Linked DNA regions of Danio rerio. Each later gene encodes a partner of the first gene's protein in a complex. Links are inferred from orthologs where the notes say so. Each region holds a gene or a part of one and is shown on either strand. Other genes may lie near its edges.

Evidence for each region.
Region 2: trappc11 (region 1) and trappc12 share a complex: the UniProt entries of both Homo sapiens proteins name them as parts of the multisubunit TRAPP (transport protein particle) complex. The link is inferred for Danio rerio from reciprocal best matches to the Homo sapiens genes TRAPPC11 and TRAPPC12.

Annotation. Positions count from the first base shown.
Region 1 is NC_133189.1:7,877,153-7,880,989, forward strand, and holds part of trappc11 (trafficking protein particle complex subunit 11), read right to left. Parts: intron 752-3,837; coding exon 564-751; intron 359-563; coding exon 210-358; intron 1-209. UniProt on the Homo sapiens protein: Involved in endoplasmic reticulum to Golgi apparatus trafficking at a very early stage.
Region 2 is NC_133192.1:57,317,631-57,321,467, forward strand, and holds part of trappc12 (trafficking protein particle complex subunit 12), read right to left. Parts: intron 3,065-3,837; coding exon 2,966-3,064; intron 2,715-2,965; coding exon 2,611-2,714; intron 1,745-2,610; exon of another isoform or gene 1,531-1,744; coding exon 1,443-1,530; exon of another isoform or gene 1,359-1,442; coding exon 1,116-1,358; 3' UTR 1-1,115. UniProt on the Homo sapiens protein: Component of the TRAPP complex, which is involved in endoplasmic reticulum to Golgi apparatus trafficking at a very early stage.

The DNA.
Region 1 (3,837 bases):
TTAATAATTGTATTTTCATACTTAGTTAATGATTTATTTTTCAATACTAAATTAAGTATCCCATTATTTACAAACCATTTGTATTTAAGAGTAGTTGAGGATCTAGGATCATTCAGAATGAGTTAGTAAATGATTGATAAACTATTGAAATCAACATTTATATATCTCTATATAACTAAAACAATAAGTAATTTTCCCCCAGATAGTACCTGGTTTGAGGCCTGCAGTGAGTTTGATGTCTTTACCCACAGTGTCCTCTTCTGATTTGATGGTAACAGTCATACAGAACATCTCATTGGTAAGTGCTGGAGGCTCATGGGTCAGCTGTACAGAAATTTTGGGCACTCTAGAGATGATCCTACAGGGAATACAGAAAGGAAAACTTAGCTGTTTATTCCTTATTAATTTGAACTCGGCACATTTTGAATGAAACTTAAATGTCTAGTCACTAACCAATGACTTGACAACAACCATTTGAGAGTTAAAAATGTTTTAAGACCTATGATTTAAATCATTAATTTCTGAAGCGATATACTAGTTTTTCAGATTTTCTATTAACTTACATGGTACTAGACTGTACAGACACTGCGTCCCAGTCCACATGCTGCTCTGGGAGGCGTGTCCTCCTTTTAAATGAGCGGGAAGCTTGCAAACTCTCATGGGAAGAGGCCGCATCTCCCCAACCGCCCCGCCAATTCAGATAAACATAACGGCCCGTTTCTCGACCTAACATTAGTCCCACACTGGTGATCTGAAAGACAAAACCAGACAAACATCAAACAAACTAATCAGCTGTAAATCTGTGACAACACAAGATCTGAATTTACATGGACAGCTCACCCAAAATATTTACTCAGATTCAAGTGGTTCTAAACTTACTTAAGTTTCTTTTTTCTGTTGAACAAAAGACAAGATATACTGAGGAATGTTAGAAAAAAGCAGCCATTAGCCCAGGGATGGGCAAACTTGATCCTCGAGGGCCGGTGTCGCTGCAGAGTTTTGTTCCAACACTAGTCAAACACACCTGGACATGCTAATCAGTGTCTTTAAGATCACACGAAATCTATAAGCAGGTGTGTGTGATTAGGGTTGGAGCTAAACTGTGCAGGACACCGGTCCTCCAGGACCAAGTTTGCCCACCCCTGCATTAGACCCTTTCACACAGTGATACAAGTAAATATCAAGAAAATTTCCCAAACAACTTTACAGGTAAATACAAACGTGGGCTGATCACACTGGCATTGACGTTCCAGAATGTTTCTGAAAAGGATTATTCAAACGTCCATTTCAAAATACCGGTAAGTTCAAACATTATTAACCCAAAACGAGCTCTAAACAAACCCGAAGGGGGTCAGGCTTTTTGCTGATGGTTTCACTTTTGTTTAAGAGTGCTTTCACACCTATAGATCGATTGTTTTGTTCCGAAACAGGGATTAAAAAGGTTATAGCTACTTGGTTTTGATCTGAAGATATGCATTTTCTAATTTAATAACCAGTAACATTCTCTCACAGTCTTCTCTTCAGACTGAGAATAAAGATTTAATCATATTTAGTATACTATTAAGTGTATATATGACCTTTCCTGAATTGTGTTCATTCATTTATTCATTCATTTTCTGCCGCTTTTCCGGGGCCGGGTCGCGGGGGCAGCAGTCTTAGGAGAGAACCCCAGACTTCCCTCTCCCCAGACACTTTCTCCAGTTCCTCCGGGGGGATCCCGAGGCGTTGCCAGGCCATCCAAGAGACATAGTCCCTCCAGCATGTCCCCGAGGCCTCCTCCCGGTGGGACATGCCTGGAACACCTCCCTAGGTAGGCATCCAGGAGGCATCCGAAACAGATGCCAGAGCCACCTCAGCTGACTTCTCTCGATGTGGAGGAGCAGCGGCTCTACTCCGAGCTCCTCCCAGGTGTCAGAGCTACTCACCCTATCTATAAGGGTGTGCCCTGCCACCCTTCGAAGGAAACTCATTTCGGCCGCTTGTATCCGAGATCTTGTCCTTTCGGTCATGACCCAAAGCTCATGACCATAGGTGAGAGTTAAGGGTGTCACGATCCTCCAAATCCTCTATTCGATTACATTTTCGATTCTAAAGGCATGATTCGATTCGATTTTCGATTATGAATAATTAATTAATTAATGACCAATTAATTATTTGTAGCCTACCGTTTAAACTACCTGACCTGCATGGTCTTTGTTTTACCCATAAACAAATCATACAGTAAATGAATAAAGGCAAGATACACACATAATTACCACCTGTCAATCACTTTTTCTGCGGGACTCGTGAATAGGCAGTGATCTGTGTCATTATAATGGCGTCGGTAAAAAAGACGCACAACCAACAGGAACCAGCCAACAGTATCTGAGGTGTTGGCTAAAATGACAAAGTACAAGTGAGTGAAAGATTGAAGCAGTCCTCTGACTGCCTGGACCTGCTGTCTCAAGCTCATATGGCTGTGTGTGCGTCTGTGTCTGTGTGGTCACGTGATGTGCATTTTTTAGAGGTAGAGAGGAAGGAGGGCTGCTCAGAAACGCTACACACCACTGTGGATGTCAAATTGTGTCGTTCTAAAATGCCATTTTTAAACAGGGCCTGAGTGTGTACTTTTCGCGAGCGAATTTGCAACGGGGGCGGGCGGAGGATCGCGATGCCGGTGTTGTCTATCGGACGAACCGTACGTAATACGTACATAGCAGAGCTTGCAAAACTGTGTTTTTTTGTCGACAACACGAACGTTGTCAACATAACTCACTGGAAATCCAAAATGCTAACACACCGGCGACTTCATTGAAAGAGGAGAGGGTTTAAGCTCTGTCAACGGGTCTCCTGCTTCTGCAGTTTAACAAGCACTTCAACAAACCTGTTTTTTTCCCGCTTGGCGTGGCAGCATCGACGATTCTATTTTTTGATTCGATAATCGAAATTGAGCATAAATTTCGATTGATTTCGATTAAAAATCGAAATCGTGACACCCCTAGTGAGAGTAGGAACGTAGATTGACCGGTAAATCGGGAGATTTGCCTTTCCGCTCAGCTCATTCTGTTATTAATATTGTTTACATAATTTCTGATGGTTATTGTTATTATTGACTTTATTTAATTTTTACATTGTGTTTTGTAACTTTATCTGTATTGTATAAAAAAGTTAAATGACTGACAGTGAAAAATGTGTCCACCTTTTAAGCTGAAATATTGTATTGGTTATGCTGATACAGTAAATAAAAAAATAAATAAAATTGTTACAACGTTGCATTTTGTTATTGGTGTGGTTTGATTTCACATGACAAAGTTTCTAAACGGACCTAAAACAAGCTAAAACAAGTCATGTGTGAGTAAACTCTCCTCACATTAGTCAGAGTTTATTTTTGAGTCTCATATATTCCGCTCAGCTGTCATGTGTCAATATTTTAATTTATGATGATGAGCAATGAGACATTATAAGTGAAAAGGAGAACTTTAATTTTGAATGTTGACACTCACAGTCATCGAATATAAATCAGAGGTAAGATTTTCCCATAAACAGCCTCATTACAGTTGTCAAGGGTTGTGCTAATCTATTTATTGAACCAATTAATCTATTGCCTGTCATTTTTTGTAACATTTAATTAGTTATTTTAAAATAAGAAAAAGACATTCAATAACTTTGTTGCCATTATTAATTATGAGCTTTAAAAAAACATTGGCTAGAATTATGCATTATAGACAGGCCCACACGGAATCTGCACGCAGAAATCAGCAGATTTTCAGCCCATCGAGTTTATTTACTTATGTAAATTTACTTTTATTCAGCTTTTAATTAATTTCAGTAATATTATTGACTGATATGAAAATGTGC
Region 2 (3,837 bases), on another chromosome or scaffold:
GAATATTCTCTCAAACCTGCCGCCTGATTATTAATTAAAGGGTATTTTACCCAAAAATGAAAATTCTGTCATCATTTACTAACACTTTAGTATTATTTTGATTAACACAAAACAAGATATCTTGAAAAATGTTGGAAATCTGTAACCATTGACTTCCATAGCTCTCTTTTTGACTAAAGAAGTCAATGGTTACATGTTTATACATTCTTCAAACTGTTTTCTTTTGTGTTTAACAGAACATATTTTGAAAAATGTTGGAAACCTGTAACCAATCACTTCCATAGTATTTATTAGTACATAAATCAATGGTTACAGGTTTCTACATTCTTCAAACTATCTTCGTTTGACTTTAAGAAACTCATAAAGACTGAGGGAGGGTAAATAGTGAGTAAAGCTTAATTTTTGGGTGAACTATCCCTTTAATATCCAGTCCACTGCAAAACAATCTGTTTTACTTAGAGTTTTCGTCTTGTTTCTAATCCAAATATTTAAAAATCCTCAAATCAAGAAGCATTTCCTAGAGGAATAAAAATAATTGTTTTCAGAAATAAGTCGTCGAAATTAAAGGGATAGTTCACCCAAAAAAAGAAAATTCTTTCATGGTTCACTCACCTCTTACCCTCATGAGTTTCTTTCTTCTTTTGAACACAAAAGAAGATACTTTGAAGAAAGAAAAGAAAAACCTGTAACCATTGACTTCCATAGTATTTGTTTTTCCTACAATGGAAGTCAATGGTTACAGGATTTCAACTTTCTTTAAAATTTCTCCTTTTGTGTTTAACAGAAGAAAGAAACCACTTGAGAGTGAGTAGATGGTGAGTAAATAAAAAATGTAGGGCTGAACTATCCCTTTAAGTGAGTTTGACCTTCAAAAATCAAGTGAAATAATCTGCCAATGAGGTAAACGGTGTTATTTCAAACCAAAAACAAGATTATTTTACATGTTTTAAGCAAAAACTCACTTCATTTTGACTTCATATTCATAAAAACAAAACAATATTTGATAGTTGTCTAAAAAAAACGCTTCTTGACTTCAGAATGTTTGAATATTTGGACTAGAAAGAGACGAGTGTTTTTTGCAGTGTGTGTTGGATTGTGTGTGGGTGGTGTGCGTCTCATACTAGCTTGAGGCACTGGATGTTAAAGCTGTCTCCTTCTCTGCATGCGGCGGCCTCCAGTAGCGCCTGTTTTTTCTGTGTGCTGCGTGACGACTCCAGCTCGTACATGGTGGTGAGGTTGAAGAGTACGCTTTCGTGCAGGTACAGTGCCGGGTCCTTGTGCACCAGGCTCTCCAGCTGGCCCAGGGACTCCTTTAGCCTTCCCAAGTACAGGAGACACACGGCTGCGTTGTTGTTTGCCTGAAAAAAAAATATTGTTAGTACTAATGCTTCTCTGGTGGTGCTTATGATCGTGTGTACAAGAATAAAGGGTTGAGCGTTTACCACTGGGTTCTTGGGATCGAGGCGTAGGACACTGGAGAAACACGTGTGCGCGTCTGCGTAGTTATTCTGACTCAGGTAAACAAAAGCCCTGTTGATGTCATTACAATACGGTTAAAAGTGGTTTGAAATGTGCACAGTGCTGCTTCAAACATAACATACATGAACCCTGATAGCAGGTCTATACACAGGTTAAGGTTGCCAGATGTTTATAAAAAAACTGGCCTAATGTCCAGTCAAAAACAGCCCAATAATATCAAAACTCAAGTTTACACCACTGTAATCATTAAATTGATGTGCAAATCAAGACTTACATGTAATACTAAGTCGTGCGCACACAATACTATGTTGTGCACACACGATATGTATGTATATGTCGTGCGCACATATTGCTATGTTATGCACACACAATGTGTGTGTGTGTGTGTATATGTCGTGCACACACGATATGTATGTATATGTCGTGCACACATATTGCTATGTTATGCACACATGATGTGTGTGTGTGTGTGTATATGTCGTGCACACACGATATGTATGTCTATGCCATGCACACATGATATGTATGTCTATGTTGTGCACACACGATATGTATGTATATGTCGTGCGCACATATTGCTATGTTATGCACACACGATGTGTGTGTGTGTGTATATGTCGTGCACACACAATACTATGTTGTGCACACACGATATGTATGTATATGTCGTGCGCACATATTGCTATGTTATGCACACATGATGTGTGTGTGTGTATATGTCGTTTGCACACGATATGTATGTCTATGCCATGCACACATGATATGTATGTCTATGTTGTGCACACACGATATGTATGTATATGTCGTGCACACACAATACTATGTTGTGCACACACCATATGTATGTCTATGCCATACACACATGATATGTATGTCTATGTTGTGCACACACAATGTGTATGTATATGTCGTGCGCACACAATACTATCTTCAGGGCCGGCGTGTCCATAAGGCGGCATAATAGTGAGGGCGGCAACCCTACCCGGTACTCACTTTCATCAGTGACGCATCCCCCCGGTCCTAACTTTCATCCACGACACGACCTCCGTTCTCATTTTCATCTGCGACGCACACAATACTATACTGTGCACACATGAAATATAGAAGTAAGTGACTGACATCGGCGTTTACCTGTTCATCAGAACCGAGGTTTCTTCAGTGGCTGTTTTTCCCTTTGACTGACAGGCGTTTTCCACATCCTGAAAATATTTCTCCGCAGTTCTGATGTCTCCGATCTAATAATCCCAGCAAACAGAAAGTTAATTACCATCTGAGTGAAGATAAAACATGAAGAGCAAAACAGACTCTTTGATACTCTTCAAAAATAAGCAACTCTGCAGAGGAAAGACAAGCGTTCAGTCGTTCAGTGAGAGCTAAGCTGAGCTGCCTTCATGGTACCTAAAACTCAGAATTGGCGCAAACTAAACTAAAACGTATCCAGCTGATCTGTCTTCATGCTACAGGCCCCAGGCGTCTCTGCTCTCACCTGCAGGAAAATGCGTCCGATTCCACTCAGCAGCTGCACTTTCTGCTCCGGCTCAAACTCGATGATGGAGCGATACGTCTCCACAGCCAACACATAGTCCTTCATGTGAGACGAACAAAACAAACAAGAGAATTAGCTGTTAGTGAATTAATTCTTGATTATTTTATACACACACACACACACACACACACACATATATATATATATATATATATATATATATATATATATATATATATATATATATATATATATATATATATATATATATATATATATATAAATAATATATATATATATATATATATATAAATAATATATGATAATAATATATTAATCTTTATTATTATCATCTTAATGTGTTTATTCCTGCAGCTCTTAGCCATACAATATCAGTAAAAAATAAATGACAAAAACAACATGAAAGTACTAGTGGAGGACTAATAATTCACTTCTATAAACAGTTGAAGTCAGATTTTTTAGCCCCTCTTTGCTTTTTATTTTTTTATTTCCCAAATTATGTTTGACAGAGCAAGAAAATTTTCACAGTATGTCTGATAATATTTTTGATAATATAATACAGTCTCATTTGTTTTATTTTGGCTAGAATGAAAGCAGTTTTTAATTTTTTAAAAACCATTTTAAGGACAATATTATTAGCCCATTTAAGCTGTGTTTTTTTTTTTTTTTTTGATAGTCTACAGCAGTAGTTCCCAACCTTCCAATGTTTGTATAGGTTCATGGGGGTTCCCAAAGAAAAAGGCTGGGAACCACTGGTCTACAGAACAATCCATTGTTATACAATACCTTGTCTAATTACCCTAACCTGCCTAGTTAACCTAATTAACCCAGTTAAGCCTTTAAATGTCACT